Macaca fascicularis: one gene and its partners. The protein of the gene in region 1 purifies or fractionates together with the protein of each later gene. This does not show direct contact. Links are inferred from orthologs where the notes say so. Each region holds a gene or a part of one and is shown on either strand. Other genes may lie near its edges.

What was found.
Region 2: the proteins of TNFAIP3 (region 1) and MTOR purify together in Homo sapiens (affinity purification with western blotting, with the first as the bait; 3 studies listed by BioGRID). This does not show direct contact. The link is inferred for Macaca fascicularis from reciprocal best matches to the Homo sapiens genes TNFAIP3 and MTOR.
Region 3: the proteins of TNFAIP3 (region 1) and BIRC2 purify together in Homo sapiens (affinity purification with mass spectrometry; 5 studies listed by BioGRID and IntAct, with this or other methods). This does not show direct contact. The link is inferred for Macaca fascicularis from reciprocal best matches to the Homo sapiens genes TNFAIP3 and BIRC2.

Annotation. Positions count from the first base shown.
Region 1 is NC_088378.1:41,916,673-41,922,290, reverse strand, and holds part of TNFAIP3 (tumor necrosis factor alpha-induced protein 3), read right to left. Parts: intron 4,923-5,618; coding exon 4,742-4,922; intron 3,544-4,741; coding exon 2,624-3,543; intron 1,905-2,623; coding exon 1,723-1,904; intron 943-1,722; coding exon 658-942; 3' UTR 1-657. UniProt on the Homo sapiens protein: Ubiquitin-editing enzyme that contains both ubiquitin ligase and deubiquitinase activities.
Region 2 is NC_088375.1:223,549,528-223,555,601, forward strand, and holds part of MTOR (serine/threonine-protein kinase mTOR), read left to right. Parts: intron 1-1,213; exon of another isoform or gene 1,214-1,240; 5' UTR 1,241-1,254; coding exon 1,255-1,416; intron 1,417-2,069; coding exon 2,070-2,178; intron 2,179-3,472; coding exon 3,473-3,705; intron 3,706-4,445; coding exon 4,446-4,646; intron 4,647-6,074. UniProt on the Homo sapiens protein: Serine/threonine protein kinase which is a central regulator of cellular metabolism, growth and survival in response to hormones, growth factors, nutrients, energy and stress signals.
Region 3 is NC_088388.1:101,371,000-101,377,073, reverse strand, and holds part of BIRC2 (baculoviral IAP repeat-containing protein 2), read right to left. Parts: intron 3,657-6,074; coding exon 3,578-3,656; intron 2,890-3,577; coding exon 2,841-2,889; intron 1-2,840. UniProt on the Homo sapiens protein: Multi-functional protein which regulates not only caspases and apoptosis, but also modulates inflammatory signaling and immunity, mitogenic kinase signaling, and cell proliferation, as well as cell invasion and metastasis.

The DNA of each region.
Region 1 (5,618 bases):
AGCTTGTTTTTCTGTCAACGTGAACGTGTTCAGTCTCAGCAGCCTCAGAATCACAGTCCATGGATGGTTCTGCATTTCTGCCGGGTCCTCAGGAAAGCACCCGGGCAGGTAGGGAAAAAACCATGAACTACAAACACTCTCTGAATACGTCCATTTTCCCTGAGCTTCCTTGAGCTTCTTGCAGAGGGCCTCGCTGCCATGAGGATCTGGCTTCACATCTCTGAGAGATGCTACGGGAGGGGAGGTAGACTGGCTCTGGCTTCTCCAACCCACCCAACTGCGTGTCTTTTCCCTTCTCAGCCAAGATGATGAAGCAGTCCTGACGGGCAGGGTGCAGGCGCCTCGGCCAGTCCCCGCACACCTTCCAAGTCCAAAGAAGTTCCTGGCCTCTTGCTTGGTAGGAGAGGAGGAACCTTGGGCTGAATCTGACATCATCCCTTGCCAGTTACAAGCTTTGCTTTCTAAGGCCACCTGGGAACACTCCCTGGTTACCAAACCTGAGCATCGTGGGCACCACAAAGAGCTTATCTTTCCTCTCCTGCTCAGACACCCTTGAGCCCGCTGTTGCAGTGGCAGCTGAGGGTTCAGAGGATAGCACCATGATGACTGACAGCTCGAGGCCCCACTTCTTGCAGGAGGTGACCCGCCTGTTTCCGGTTAGCCATACATCTGCTTGAACTGAAAGCACTCGTTGCAGTAGCCGTTGCACTTGGCATTGCCAAAGTGATCACAGGCGGGGGCCCGGCAGCGCTGCTTGGGGGGGTCTTCGGGGGCAGGCTCACCCCGGTGGGCCCCGGGGCCCATCCTCGGGTTGGGATGCTGGCACTCCATGCAGAGCTCCTCGCTGCGGCAGGCCAGGATGTTCTTGCAGGAGGCCCGGGCGCACTTGGGCCTTGAGGTGCTCTGTGTGGTTCGAGGCACATCTCTGCGCTGGCTCGATCTCTGAGTGGAAAGAACAGACGGATCATTAAAAAGTCAGGAAACTATTGCTCACATTTCTTAGGGACAGCACAGTGAAATCTCATTGGATAGTGTGGAGTCTACAAAGAGCTTTACCTGCCTGAGCAAGGGAACAGGAGAGCACCGCAGTCTATGAGCCAGAGCTCTTGAAGGATGTTTCCTTCCAATCTCAAGGAAAGCTGACTTGGCCCCCAGGGAGGCTGAGGAAAACCGTCAAGCCTAAGTTGGTCTGCAAACTTTCCCTGGCTCTCTTCTGTTGGGACCAATAACCACTGCTCTTAGATAGCTTCTCTACCATTATGTGAACAACAGGCGACACACCTGTATCTGTCAAAGCTGGCTTTTCTGATGTACCATTAAGCGCAGGCCCCCGGCAAGCTCGGTCTGTTCGCTCCTTGTGATAAACGATTATTTAAGAAGGGCTGCTTTTTAGATGTCTGTGCTTCTCTTACAAATCAAAGAAGGCTCTGATCACGGTCTGGCTTTCTGGGGGCTGGAAGAAGTTTTATGCAATGGCTGTGTTTCTTTGTTTTTAAAATAAATTCAAAAGTATTCTTGGAGCATGAAAATCGGTGGCAGCATTTCGGACCTGGGGAGCCACAGTGACATGGACATTCCCCTTCAGGTTCTGAACTAATCCTTTATCATGAGGGGACAGAACCTGGCAGAGACGAAAGCCTGCTTGTCACTGTCGGAAGCCAACGCTCCAGTAAAAAGCACCGGACACACGGGAGGGAGGGAAAACTCCTCAAAATGTCTCACCAGTTGCTCTTCTGTCCTTTTGGCCTCATGAAATCTCTGATTCTGAGCTTCAATGAAACACTTCTGGCAGTATCCTTCAAACATGGTGCTTCCAAGGGTGCCGCACTCCCTCCCCAGGCACGGAATGGTGTTCTGGAACCTGGAGGCTGTGGGACTGGCTTTCCCTGAGGCAGCGACCAAATCTACACGAGAGTGGATGCTAGTTAGTACCACATAGGGGTCACCCCACAGATACAGAGATGCTGACATTAGAGAAATAAATGGGTTCCAAATACAGATTAGGCCAGCCTTAAATATATAGAAATATATATATGTACATATTTAAGTATATAAATTCAGCAAAAGAAATAATAACAACACTATTATGGAAACATCTTTGGCTTTACCAATCTCTCATTTTGAACTTGAAGCACCGATTGGTCACAGGAACAGGGCAAAGAGCAGGCATTACCTGGTCACCCTTCTTTCAAACGAGAGATTTCCAAAACCACATCTGTTTCCTTACAGTGTCAAGAGAGACTTCCTTCTCTCCAGTTACTACTCTTCAGATTTTAAGATTGTTCTATTATATCTAAGTTGCAAAAGAAGTCTAGTTTAAGACTGTCTTAGATACGCCAGACCTGAACAGTCTAGTAAAAGAAAATCCCATGAGCTCTGTCTACAGGGCACTCTGGTTTTTGGAATGTGATATTAGGAGCTGCTACAACCACGCAGTGCCTTTTGCCTCCATGGGCAGCTGGCAGGGCCACCGTGGCTGTCCCATGCACAAGCCAGTAGAAAAGCACGGTAGGTCCTGACCACTCTGCCTGACTGCCCACACGGGATTTTTTCCTTAAAGGTCAGGAACAAAACCTCTTCTGGACAGTAGCTGCTATGTTAGGAAGTCAACCATTTCACTCACGTTTGTTTTCTCTGTACTCGATGAAACACAGTGTGCAAAAGCCCTTGTTTTCTGGAGTCCCAAAATACATGCAGCCAGCTTTTCTGCACTTGCTGGTCCCCGTCCTGTCCCCCGGAGTCCGTGCAGCTTGAGACAGGCAGCCAGCGGGGGCGTCATTTCCAGCTCTGTGGCAAGAATGCGGGGAGGGGCTCCGGACGAGCTGTGAGGGATCTGACTTGGAACGCTGGTGACAGGAGGGAGGGAGGCTGGTGCTGAGGCTGGAGGAGGCCTCTGCTGTAGTCCTTTTGAAGCAAGTACTGCAGATCCCATTAAATGTCCTGGTGACATCCTGGAGGCAGGCTTGGCACTTCCCGGGATCCAAGTGCCTTGTGTGGTCTGCGGCGTGGCTGGCGTGAAGTTGCCGGGCGTTGTGGCAACGTTCACAAAATCCGTTGTGCTGCACATTCAGTGTGAAGGGGCAGCCGGGGCTCCTGCACTTCATGGCAGTGGTCTCACTGAACAGAAAAGGGCTGGGTGCTGTCGGTGGAGCAGAATGAGGCCCCCCAGTGGGCTCCTCGGGGTTCCACGCCAAGGGCTCATAGGCTTCTCCCCGAGAGGCCCCGAGCGCCATGCCAGGGAGCCCCTCGGGGCCCGGCTTGGAGTTCAGCTTTGGGAGTTTGTTTTGATTCTTTTGCCGCCTCTCTGAGCACTCATGGCATAAAGGCTGGGTGTTCACAGACATGAAGAAGGGACAGTTGGGCGTTTCACATTTTACATCCATGAGAGAAAGCTGGGGCAGGGAAGATTCCATGGGATTCTGGGCATGCATCTCGCTCCTCCCCTGCTCGCTGTTTTCCTGCCATTTCTTGTACTCATGCTGAACAAGCTCAAAGTAATCATCTACCAGATTGATTTCTTTTGGTAAGTTAGCTTCATCCAACCTGAAGACCAAAAAGAAAAAATATGTATGAGACTACACAAAATCACACACAAGATTTTACATCATTAGCCTACAGAACAAAGTTTTAGAATATGGATTATGGCAAGAATTGCAGAACCATTAACTGAAACGCAGGCCTGTGATGAAGAGCTCACACTTTTCATGTAACATGATCTGACACATTTCCCAACACGTTCTAGAGTCAAGAATGATGTCAGTTAGTTTGCTAAGACTTCCTTATTTTTAAAATCACAGTTTCATTTAATCAATCTTGGTCCATCCAAAAATTATAGATAGTTTTAAAACAAGGGCTAAAAAAAAAAAAAAAAAAAAAAAATATCAGCTGACTCTTTAATTTCTCAGAGATCAAGTTTTGAGTAAAACATCACTCAGGCCATTCGTTTGGGACTAGTCTACTTTATAGCACAAACTACTTTGGAACCTCAGGTTGGGTATTTTGCTATTACTAACTTTAAACTTGTGTCTGGTCTCCACCAGCATTAGCAGCCATGAGTAACTAAGATGCAGACACACTCAAAGGCACTTGCCTATTTACTGTTGACTCTGTAATTTGCTAATCTCCACGTTGAGAGACAGATTCTCTTACGGCCTCCTTGTCATCTCTTGTGCGTCTCAAGTGCTCAGAAACAGGCATCTCTTTAACATAAAGCCAACGTTTAAAGACCAGATACCTGCACAATGGGCATTCTGGGGCTTTCCTCCCATTCCATGTGGCAGAATCATGAGCTGCAACAGGAACAATTCTACAGCCCCAGCTATGTCTGATGTGCCTGTTCTTACCAAGAAGCCAAGAGAGAAAGCTTTTTGTTTCCAAGTGTTTTCACTTGCTAGTCTTTTTAATACGTACCAGAGTAATTAAAATACAAAAACAAAAAACAACAACTATCCTTGATGTAAATGCACTTTGAAAACCCATAATTCTGCAATTCTGGCTTTTGGGATCCAGATATCTAGGAAACTCAATATGGATAAATGACTTATTTCGATTTGAAACCCAAGTTAGTACGGCCTTACAGAATCCTCTCTAACCATGCACAAGGCTCTGAATTTGTTTCCCACTGGCAGAAACTGGCCACAAATCACTCTACTGTTGAGCTTCAGGGTGGCAGCAACTCAGGCGGCTGAGGTTAAAGACAGTTACAGATGACACAGGAGAGAGCTGAACATAAACTGCTTACTTTGCGGCATTGATGAGATGAGTTGTGCCATGGTCCCAGCCTTGGACAGGGATTTCTATCACCATTAAGTACTCTTTTAAGAGCTTCTCCTTCATCTCATTTTCAGGATCTGTCAAAAAGTGAACTTTCAAGTCTTCAAATCTTCCTCGGTCTCTGTTAACAAGTGGAACAGCTCGGATTTCTGAGGGAAAAAAATAACACATAAGTAAAATCGTATTCTACTAAACAAGGCCATAGGTAAGTAGATCGCATTTTGAAAGTGTGTAAAATATATAATTTACAGAATAGAAAACTATTCTCAGCCACAGTTAAACCCAAAAGGGAAAACAGAATGTGCTACAATCTAATATAAAAATGCACTGTTTCCAGGAAACTCACAGAATATTAACCAGCCTGGAGGGGGTGGATCTTATTGGTTGAAGTCCCAGGCTTTAGAATCAGACTGACCTGAGTTTGAATCCTGGCTTTTGTCAAGTTGTGTGGCATTAGGCAGGTCAGTTGACCTCTCTAAGCTTTAACTGTCTAATCTGTAAAATAAGGCTACCAAGGCCTACATCTGACAAGAATGCTAAGAGGATAAAAATGCAATAAAATAATATATCCAAAGCACAGTGCTTATTCCACATGAAGCTATTAAAATAACAGCCAACAGGCCAGGCACGGTGGCTCATGCCTGTAACTTTGAGAGGCCAAAGCGGGAGACTGCTTGTCCCCAAGGGGTTGAGGCTGCAATGAGCCATGATTGTGCCACTGCACTCCAGCCTGAACAACAGAGGGAAACCCTGTTTCAAAAAGAAATAAAAAAGCTAACCTGACAGGCATTTACTTGCTCCATAACAGGCACTGTGTGCCTTAATTTATCATGTATGAAAGTACT
Region 2 (6,074 bases), on another chromosome or scaffold:
TGGATATATTAGTTTAAGTAATTAATTTCACCTGTTTCTTTTCACCTTTTAAAATATGGCTACCAGCAGCTTTAAAATTACATTTGTGGATCACTGTATTTCCTTTTTTTTTTTTTTTTTTCAATTGGGATGGAGTTTTGCTCTTGTCGCCCAGGCTGCAGTGCAATGGCGCAATCTTGGCTCACTGCAACCTCCGCCTCCTGGGTTCAAGTGATTCTCCTGCCTCAACCTCCCAAGTAGCTGGGATTACAGGCACGCACTGCCATGCCTGGCTAATTTTGTATTTTTGGTAGAGATGGAGTTTCACCATATTCCCCAGGCTGGTCTCAAACTCCTGACCTCAGGTGATCTGCCTGCCTTGGCCTCCCGAAGTGCTGGGATTACAGGCGTGAGGCACTGTGCCTGGCCTATATTTCTATTAGACAATGCTGCTGTGGAATAATAATCTCTCTTTTTAGACTGAACTTGAGCAAAGGGGCAGTCTTAGTCATTTTTGATTCTTTCCCTACCTCCCCACATTTGTTACCTGGCACTGTGCCGTGTACATAGTAGTAGTAGTAATAATAATAGCTAACAATTATTAAGAACTCAGTATATGCCCTGCACTGTTTTAAATACTTTTTGACATGTATTAACTCATTTAGTCCTCACATCAACCCATGAACTAGGTACTATTATCTTCCTATTGTAGTTGAAGAAACATTTTTAGTGTCTTTCTCAAGGTATATAACCTTGTTTTTGTTTTCGTTTGTTTTTGTTTGAGACAGTGGAGTGGCAGGATCTTGGCTCAGGGCAACCTCCCGTCCCAGGTTCAAGTGATTCTCCTGCCTCAGCCTCCCGGGTGGCACATGCCACTACGCCCAGCTAAGTTTTGTATTTTTAGTAGAGATGGGATTTCACCATGTTGGCCAGGCTGGTTTCGAACTCCTGACCTCAGGTGGTCCTCCTGACTCGGCCTCCAAAACTGCTCAAGGTATCTAACCCAAGGATTCAAACCCAAGTAGGCTAGCTCCCATAGCCCGCAATTTGACCCTCCCTACCACACTGCCTCTTTTAAACATCAGTCATTGTTTAATGAATCTAGGCTTTCTAAATGTTCCTCAATAAGATCTCTCAACCTTTTTAGAATCCCCTGCCTGACAAGGGCTTGGGGGAGATCTGTGTTGGATGACCAGGGCCATAAGTAAATTTATCACCATACTTTCTTGTTTAGAATATTAAAGGAAACTTCTCTTTAAAGAACCTCAGGGCAAGATGCTTGGAACCGGACCTGCCGCCGCCACCACCGCTGCCACCACATCTAGCAATGTGAGTGTTCTACAGCAGTTTGCCAGTGGCCTGAAGAGCCGGAATGAAGAGACCAGGGCCAAAGCTGCCAAGGAGCTCCAGCACTATGTCACCATGGAACTCCGAGAGGTGCTTCTGCGATTTGGGGCCAGTCATTGTGGGATGTTTGGGCTAAATGTATCATCACTGGTTTAGACTTTTTTTGGACAGCTAAGCGAGGATTTGGAAAACAGAGATTATTTTAGAAAGGCACTCAACCTCTCACATCCATAAAACATGCAGGTTCTTTTGCAGCAGTTGCACATTTCTGTGGCATTTTTCTTGTTTGTGGTCACATTTTAGGGGCCAGAATAGACTTAGCTGTTTCTTTTAGCTTTTTCTTTTTTCCTTACCACATACCACACCCTCAAATGCTTTCTGTCTGATAACAGTGATTGGGATGGGTTTGGAGAGTTGAGAACTAGGGACTTTCTAAATAGAGACCAGACTTGAGGTCAGAGACAGTATCTTGTTTATCCTTGTATCCCTGGTACTAGAAAGAACCTAGGACAGAACATTTTCTGCCACAGAGTAGATACCCAATAAATATTTGTTAAATAATCAGAGGATTGCAAGTTCAGGTGCTCTACAGTGTAATCCTGTAGAAGTGGGCAGTAGCTTGTCTTCTTTGGTTTGAACTATACTGCCTGCCTCTCAGGATCTAATCTTTAGATGCCAGCCCACTCCCACCACCACAGTCAGAGAATTACTAGAAATTGTTCTGATTATATCTTCTTTTGCAGATGAGTCAAGAGGAGTCTACTCGCTTCTATGACCAGCTGAACCATCACATTTTTGAATTGGTTTCCAGCTCAGATGCCAATGAGAGGAAAGGTGGCATCTTGGCCATAGGTAAGGACAGAGTCTCTGGCCACAAAAACAACACACTCACCTTTGTGCCCATTGCACCCTGTGTCTGCCACTTACTGGATGCTAGTTCATATTTGCTTAATGAAATTTAAGAAGCCTGTGGCTTTTAATTCTAGCAGCAGTCCTGGGCTACAGGAAAAACGTATTTTTAGATGTGGAGGTGGAGTCTCAGAACCATTGAGTGACTTTTCAGACAGTTTACCAGAGCTGAGACTGGAAGCCAGCTTTCTTTTCCCTCCTTCATGTTGCGTTTTGTGGGCTCTGGTTCCTCAGTAGAGCAGGGTTTTGCATAGTGGGGCTCACGAATGGAAAAGTGGAATCGGTATAGTTAATAAAAAGCAGGTCTCTTTTTTTTTGAGATGGAATCTTACTCTGTTGCCCAGGCTGGAGTGCAGTGGTGCAATCTTGGCTCGTGGCAACCTCCGCCTCCTGGGTTCAAACGATTCTCGTGCCTCAGCCTCCCGAGTAGCTGGGATTACAGGCACCTGCCACCATGCCCGGCTAGTGTTTGTACTTTTAGTAGAGACAGGGTTTCACCATGTTAGGCAGGCTGGTCTCGAACTCCTGACCTCGAGTGATCTGCCCACCTCAGCCTCCCAGAGTGCTGGGATTACAGGTGTGAGCCACCACACCTGGCCAGGCAGGTCATTTTTAACTTCTAAGGACTGGTCATCAGTCCTGTGAATTATTATCCAGTCTCACTTGCTTTCCCTTTTTGGGGGACTAGGGAGGAAAATTATACTAGCATAAGATTATTTTGCTGTATGTAAATATTTCTGGCATAAGTATTAAATATCTGGGTTAAAATAAAAATTGTGTCCTTGCCCTCTAGAAGTGTACTCAAAGTAGAATGGAGGGATCACTTGCCAGCTTTTTTTTCTTTTTTTTTTTCCTGAGACAGAGTCTTGCTCTGTCACCCAGGCTGGAGTGCAATGGCGCAATGTCGGCTCACTGCAACCTCCGCCTCCCGGGTTCAAGCAATTCTCTTGCCTCAGCTTCCCAAGTAGCTGGGACTACAGGCGCATGCCGCCACACCCGACTAATTTTTTGTTGTTGTTGTTGTATTTTAGTGGAGAAGGGGTTTCACCATATTGCCCAGGCTGGTCTCGAACTCCTGAGCTCAGGCAATCCGCCCACCTTGGCCTCCCAAAGTGCTAGGATTACAGGCTTGAGCCACTGCGCCTGGCCAGCACTTGCCAGCTTTTAGTTGAAGTCTGTGTACTTTCCTGGTCAGCCTATGCCCCATCATCACCTTTTGCCTTCCTCTCTTTTCCAGCCAGCCTCATAGGAGTGGAAGGTGGGAATGCCACCCGAATTGGCAGATTTGCCAACTATCTTCGGAACCTCCTCCCCTCCAATGACCCAGTTGTCATGGAAATGGCATCCAAGGCCATCGGCCGCCTTGCCATGGCAGGAGACACTTTCACCGCTGAGTATGTGGAATTTGAGGTGAAGCGAGCCCTGGAATGGCTGGGTGCTGACCGCAATGAGGGCCGGAGACACGCAGCTGTGAGTGCCTGCAGGGAGGAGCACAGCCAGGCTTGGGGAGCGATGGTGTCATGGTGGGGTCTTTTGCTTCCTTCTGAGGCTCATCCCTGAAAAAGGCTGGTTAGAAGGGCTAGGATTCCAGGCTGTGAGATGGGGTAGAGTCCGTCCTTAAGAGAGAATCTAGCAGTGGTGTGGTAGGGATCAGAAGCATCAGCCGCATGCTTTCCAGTCTGCTGCCCTTCAGAGGAGGCACTACTGTGAGGGGGGGGCATGGTACCAGGAGAAGGACACACACTTGGACCCTGGCTCAAGTCTTGGCTTTACAACTTCCTACCTAACTCTGTAACCTGGGGCAGCTTCTGACCTTCAGTTTCTTCCTCTGTCAAATAAAAATAACAACAAGATTAAACATTAAACAGGATTATCCATTCAATAATTGTTTACTACATACCTACAGTATTCCAGGTAGAGTTCTATGCTATTAGTATAGTGATATAGAAAGCATAAAACACATCTGCACTTCCAGAGCTTATATTCAAACATTACAAGCATTCTGTGTTTGTAAACAACTTAGGATAATGACCACTGAGATGTTTAATCAAATTTACTTTCTTCCTCTGTCCCCAGAATTTCCTAGCTGGAAGAGTGAGCAAGCCTTCTCTGTTCCTAGTGTGTATGGCTCTAAGATGATAAAAGACCGTACTCCTGAGAGAACAAAGCACTGGTACCGACGAGAGTTCTCGGTTTGTCTTTTTCTCTAGGTCCTGGTTCTCCGTGAGCTGGCCATCAGCGTCCCTACCTTCTTCTTCCAGCAAGTGCAGCCCTTCTTTGACAACATTTTTGTGGCTGTGTGGGACCCCAAACAAGCCATCCGTGAGGGAGCTGTGGCCGCCCTTCGTGCCTGTTTGATTCTCACCACCCAGCGTGAGCCGAAGGAGATGCAGAAGCCTCAGTGGTACAGGGTGAGGAGATGGGTCCATTCCCAACACTAGGAAAGCACGTCTACATAGAGAATCACCTGGCCTAAGGGGCAGCCACAGGCCCTTGCTATGGAGCAAGCATCAGTTTTTGTTTTGGTCTCAAATGAATTTTTTTTTTTTTTTTGAGCTGGATTGCCCAGGCTGAAGTGCAGTTGCACAATCTCAGCTCATCGCAACCTCTGCCTCTCGGGTTCAAGCGATTCTCCCACCTTAGCCTCCCGAATAGCTAGGACTACAGGCGTGTACCACCACGCCTAGCTAATTTTTGTCATAGAAACAGGGTTTTTCCATGTTGACCAGGCTGGTCTCGAATTCCCAACCTCAGGTGATCCACCTGCCTTGGCCTCCCAAAGTGCTAGGATTACAAGCATGAACTACCGTGCCCGGTCTCCAGTGAATTTTTTATGCTCAGTATGAATCAATAGTTACTTTATTGCATTTTTTTTAAAGCAAACATATATGGATTGCCACACCATTATTCTATACGTTATTTTATGTATGACTAAGAATGCAAATATGCCACTTAAACTGTGACTTGGTACCTCTTTTTTTCTTTTTTTTTTTTTTTTGAGTCTGGGTCTTGCTCAGTCACCAGGCTGGAGTTCAGTGGTACGATTTTGGCTCACTGCATCCTCTGCCTCCTGGGTTCAAGTGATTCTCCTGCCTCAGCCTCCCGAGTACCTGGGACTATAGGCATGTGCCATTATGCCCAGCTAATTTTTGTATTTTCAGTAGAGATGGGATTTCACCGTGTTGGCCAGGACGGTCTCGATCTCTTGACCTCGTGATCCACCCGCCTCGGCCTCCCAAAGTGCTGGGATTACAGGCATGAGCCACTGTGCCCGGCTGACTTTGTACCTTCTTCTTATCAATAATTATAAGACATCTCAGCCGGATTCTTATGCCTGTAATCCCAAAACTTTGGGAGGCCAAGGCAGAAGGATTGCTTGAGCTCAGGAGTTTGAGACCAGCCTGGGCAGCATGTGGGACCCCATCTCTACAAAAAATAAAAAAATTAGCTGGGCCTCGTGTCACATGCCTGTGGTCCCAGCTATTTGAGAGGCTGAGGCGGGAGAATTGCTTGAGCCCAAGAGATCAAGGCTGCAGTGAGTCCTGATCACACCACTGCACTCTAGCCTTGGCAATGAAGTGAGACTCTGTCTCGGAAAAAAAAGACATCTCTTTTCAGAGATGTTAAAATATGGAAAAATAGGTGTCTTAAAATCAGTGTGATACAAATGATACCAATTTAGAAAGTGCCAGTTCTCTCTGTTCTAGTATCATGAGGCCTGTGCTGATTACTGCTGCAGAGGGAACTTATCAGTGAGTCTTATATTAGAAAAAGAGCTCTGAACATGGGATTGAGAGACCTGGGTTCCAGTCTTGCCTTTGCTGTGTTATCTTGGACAA
Region 3 (6,074 bases), on another chromosome or scaffold:
TGATTTATGCCAATCAGAGAATTTTAGCATAATAAGCTCTTTCTTGAGCTGTATTCCATTTCTTTCTCATACATAACAAATTTAAATTGTTCTGAAAAAGCAAGATGTTAAAGTTGGATGCAGGTCTTTTTTCAACCTGTTTTTAAGTATCTGCAAATCATATTTTTAATAAGGTATCTTCTGTGGAGATGTACTTTAATGGGGTAATCTGGAATCAGGAAGACTTGTTAGGATGTTAGACACAGATGATGGTAGTTTGGATTAGGTTAATAGTGGTGGAGACAGTGAGATGTAGTCAGATTTGGCATATGTTATGAAGACAGAAATGAAAAGACTTTAATAGATTAAATATAAAAACTAAAGGAAGGAGAGGAATCAGGGATGATACCTATCTTGAGCCAACTTTTAATGCTAAGAAATGAGTACCATTAACTGAGATGGGGAAGATCAAAGAAGGAACAAATCTGATGAATGAAGAATGGGGGAGAAAATTTCTGGTTTGGTCCTATTAACTCTACGATGTCTGTTACAGCCAAGTAGAGATTTAAACACTCAGCTGGACATTCCAGCTTGGGGCTCAGGAAATGGAGAAATAAACTTAAGCTGAGCTTTGAGGGGTACTCCATCATTTTAAAGTTTGAAAAAGGAGCAGCCAACAAAGGAAATTGTTCAGGATCAACCAGAGAAACAGAAAACCAAGGGTATGGGATCTGATTAGTCAAGCAAAAAACGTGTCTTAAGAAAGATGAGGCCAAGTGCAGTGGCTCATGCCTGTAATCCCAGCACTATGGGAGGCCGAGGCAGGCAGATTGCTTAAGTTCAAGAGTTTGAGACCAGCCTGGGCAACATGGTGAAACCCTGCATCTACAAAACACACACACACACACACACACACAGAGACACAATTAGCTGAACGTGGTGGTGCATGCCTGTAGTCCCAGCTACTCGGGGAGCTGAGGTGAGAGGATCACCTGAGCCAGGGAAGTTAAGGCTACAGTGAGCCATGATGGCACCACTACACTACAGCCTAGGTGACAAAGTGAGACCTTGTTTCAAAAAAAGAAAAAAGAAAGACAAAGCACCCAATGATTATCAAATGCTGGTTAACAGGTCAAGTGGTGGATTTGCTAACATGGCAGTCCTTGGTTACCATGACAAGAACAGTTCCAGCAGAACAAGTAAGAGAAAGAATGAAAGGTGAGAAAGTAAAACAGAGTAAGCATAGATAAATCTTCCTAGGTATTTTGTTGTAAAGGGAAGCAGAGTAATAAGATAATAGCTGAATGGGGACATTGGTTCATGGAAGTTTTCCTAGGATTAGCAAAAGTACATTATGTTTATATGCTAACATGAATGATTCAGGAGAGATGGAAAAATTGAAGACTCGAGAGAAAGGGTATGTCACTGCCAAAGTAACCTTCTTAAGTTGGCAGCAGGGGATGGAATACAGAGGAAAAGTGGAAGTATTGGCCTTAGAAAAAGGAAAGAACAATTCATCTCTTATGAACGAACAGAAAGAAAAGTACAAGGATAAATTATGTAGCCTTGTGGTTTTGCTGGTGAGGCAATAAAGCAGCTCTCTTTTGGATTCTATTTTCTTAGGGAAGCAAGGTTATAAACTGACAAGGTGGGAAGAGAGTGTTAGAAAATTACCAAGAAAGAAAACAAGAAACAGTCATTTAAAGATTGACAAAGTGATTTTATTAGGAACTACGGTAGAACTTCAGGGGAGCCTACTTGACAGCAGTGGTTAAAAATTTTAAGAACAGCCCACACTGCTATCTATCTTTTCTAGGTCCATTACACAAGAGATAGCTGTCATGTACCCAGGTACTCTCCTTCCTATTTCCCAGTCAAATACTACCAAATCCTTCATCCAGTCCTCCTGAGCCATGGTTTCTAAGATTCATACATCTTGGTCACCTTTCTCTGGTCCAGTTAACAAATCTACCAGTATCTTTCTTGAAATGCTGTGCCACAAACAGAATGGCCCTTGGTACATAAAACAGTGGATTATTACCTTAGCCATTTTAGACACCATAACATATGTATATTACATAAACTGGCAGATGTGGCTAACATTAAGCTCTAATCAAAAGCTATACTATTTCCTGCCCTTGCGTTGAAATACAACATACCTGACTTAAATACCTAACATCTAGTCCAATTCGTAAATCATATGTGAACTGCTTTTCCAAATCATGCTAGCTCACAGCAACCTTTTCTTTTCTGGGGGGCTTATTATCTGGGGGGCTTATTATTTGCACCGCTTATTTGGCATTGCTTCAAGCTATCTGTTGTTTTTCTTTTGCTTATGTCTCATTTCTCCAGTTGGAATGTCAGCACTAAAAGTGGTAAGTATAGCACTAGAACAAAAACTAGTGTGTAAGCATATATATATATATATATAAAATATTTATTAGCTGACTTCCCAGTATTTTTCCCTATGGCTTCAGAAACTCTTTTAAAAAGTACATACTTTCATTCCTACATTTGTTTTTTTTTGGAGACCGAGTCTCACTCTGTCGCCCAGGCTGAAGTGCAATGGCACAATCTCAGTTCACTGCAACCTCCGCCTCCTGGGTTCAAGCAATTCTCCTGCCTCAGCCTCCCGAGTAGCTGAGACTACAGGCGCATCACGCCTGGCTAATTTTTGTATTTTTAGTAGAGACGGGGTTTACTATGTTGGCCAGGCTGGTCTCGAACTCCTGACCTCAGGTGATCTGCCAACCTCGGCCTCTCAAAGTGTTAGGATTACAGGCATGAGCCACTGCACCCAGCCTATTCCTAAAATTCTTATAAAAATTTACACTCTATACTTAAAATTATTTCATACATACTTGGTGGGTCAGCATTTTCGTCTCCAGTAGTATCCGAAGTTGACAACAGCTATGAAACAAGAGAAAAGTTAATAGGTAAAATCAGATATCCCCAACAATCTGAAAGGAACAACACTAAAGTAAGTTTATGTTAAGTATATGTATATATTCTATTGAGAACTGAGTGATTTATGAGCTTTACTTTGCTTTCTTTCACCCTAATCACATAGATTTCCTTAAATTTCATGTTATCCCAAATTAGAATTCAAGTATTTCTCTAGTTTCAGGAAAGTAGAAAAATGTATCAGTGGTTTCTCATTCCATTAGGAAAATAAGATTTTAACTGGGTTACTCTCAAAGGGTCTCAGAGCCTAACAAGTTATTTTTTGTTTGTTTTTCTGGAAAACAGCAAAGAGACACTAAACCTCCTTCTCTAATCCCATCACAAATTTGTACAGTGGCAGCATAAATGATTTTTCAAAATAGTAAAAACAAACAACAATCTTTTTAAAAAGCCCTAAACAATCAAGTTGATTACAAAAGTAAAAATCAAAGTTGTCATTAACATCAATGAAAATATGTACCTACAATTAATAAAAGAGAAATAAGTATAACTTCTAATACAGGTTGGTACAAAAGTGGTCACGGTTTTGGTCATGATTTTCAATGGCAAAAACCATGATTACTTTTGCACCAATCTAATAGTATTTTTATTATAAAGCAGAATTCAAAGTTGTTGATTTTAAAAATATATTTACCTGTTCAAGAAGATGAGGATATCTACCTTGAATCTCATCAACAAACTCTTGACCTTTCATTCGTATCAAGAACTCACACCTAAAACATATGAGGAAAATTATTTTTTAAAATTGTTCCATATCAATATAACCTGACCATTCTAGAAAAAATGGCTTTCAAATCTTTCATTGTACCCCACAGTAAAAACATTTTACATCACAACCCAGAACACATACATATCTAACGGGAACAAAATTATCATAAAACAATATACATCTTACTGTGTGTTATATATCATGGTATTTTCTTTTTTTTTTTTTTTTTTTTTTTTTTTTTTTTTTTTTTGAGACAGAGTCTTGCTCTGTCACCCAGGCTGGGGTGCAGTGGCCGGATCTCAGCTCACTGCAAGCTCTGCCTCTCGGGTTTAGACCATTCTCCTGCCTCAGCCTCCCGAGTAGCTGGGACTACAGGCGCCCGCCACCTCGCCCGGCTAGTTTTTTGTATTTTTTTAGTAGAGACGGGGTTTCACCGTGTTAGCCAGGATGGTCTCGATCTCCTGACCTCGTGATCCGCCCGTCTCGGCCTCCAAAGTGCTGGGATTACAGGCTTGAGCCACCGCGCCCGGCCAATATATCATGGTATTTTCTAATTCAATCCATTAACACAACAACAACAAAAAGAAAAGCGTCTGCACCTACAAAGGGGAACAAGTTGACTCCCAAAAAACACTATTATACACAATTTATTTTGTGCTTAAAGTGAACTACTTAACAGTTTCAGATACTATTAACTTAGTATTCCTACAACATGATCTTTCACAATATAACTGCTCATCTTTCTTCAATGTTCACTCTTCCATTACATTTGAGCCACAATCCACTACCTTCCCTCCAAAAAATATGGAATCAAATATTTTTATCTATATATAATGTGACAGTGTTTCTCAAGTATTTGTTTTTAAACTGATAGGGCTTCTTGAAGATGTTCCAAGAAGTTCACATACCATCTATATCCATTCTACTCCTTTTGTTTCTTCAACAAATGATACTCTACAACAGGATATACGTATTTAAAAAACAAAAAACTCTGACCTATGCCCATATTATATGCAAAAATAGCAAAAATAAAAGTAAAAATAGATCATATACCTAAATATAAAACCTAAAATAATAAAACTTCTAGGAAAAAGTACAGGAGAAAAATACTTTTGTCTTTACATTAGGTAAAGAATTATTAGACAAAAGACCAAAAACATCTTCTACAAAAGATAAAATTGATAAACTGACATCATCAACATTGAAAATATCTGCTCTTCAAAAGATGTTAAAAAATGAAAAGCCACAACACTCGAAGAAAGTTTGCAAGAGTGACATCAGCAAGACGGCAGACTAGGAGACACCAGCCTTCTTCCACCCACAAAAAACAATAAAGAGACAGCTATCCACAAACAAATACAGCTCTGGAAGAACTCAATAGCCCAATCAGCCTACAGCAATACAGTGAGGAGGGAAAAAAAAAAAAAAAAAAGAGAGAGAATAACCACACAGAAAGGACTGCTGGGAGATCTGCTTAGCAGAGACATCTGGAGACGGCTAAGAACAAGGGGTGAGGGCTATCTGTATCAGTCATGTGGTGAGTGCCATCACAGTCCTCAGTGGCAAAGACTGCTAGGCTCCTCCCCAGAGCAGGTCCCTGGAGACCCCAATAACCCTCAGGATAGCCACAGACTTCCTGCAGGTTTCACAGTGAAGGACCCTATAGTGTTCATTGATGCCAACTGCAGTAGCCTACTCTGCAGAGGACACTGAGAGCTTTCACCATTAAGGTAACCAGCACCCAGCACTGCTGTGAACCCCCTGGAGAGGGAGACACTACCGCACTCCTCACCCTGAAAAAAAGCAGCTCTTGCACTGCCCAGAGACAGTGCAGCCCCTCACCCCCAGACCCCAGAGCCACAGGTGGTCCACGTGTACTTGCATGTAAAATCATATACTTTCCAGATCCCAGCTCTCTGGCTGCTCTGCACACCTGCACTCCACACCCAACTCAAAGGCTGCTCTATGTGCACCCACATCTGAGGCACTAGAAGCACCACTGCTGCAGGCTAGTCAACATCCTGAACCCCAGACCCGCTGTCTTTCTGCAGGCACTTGCACTCCAAACCTTGGCTCTGTAGCTGCCCCACAGGTGTCCACGCCATCAGAGACATCAGTGCTGCCACCAACACCAACACAACAAAGCCCAAAGCCAGAACCTGTGCCAAAAAGAATCCCCTTGGCCACGATGTCTCCCATGGGAGAAAAAGTGATCAAGAGGTCCCCAGCAGCCTCTGCCACCAAAAAAACCTTGCTGCTGGTATGGATACCTGCAGCCTTGGATGTTGAGGACCCCTGCAATCCTCACTGACAATGATCTGGGGTAACAGAGCTACATGGAGTTTACAATGCTGGGCCTTCCACAGAGCCAGAACTACCACACCTACTGGCTGGCACCCTCACACTCACCCACAGGCAAATG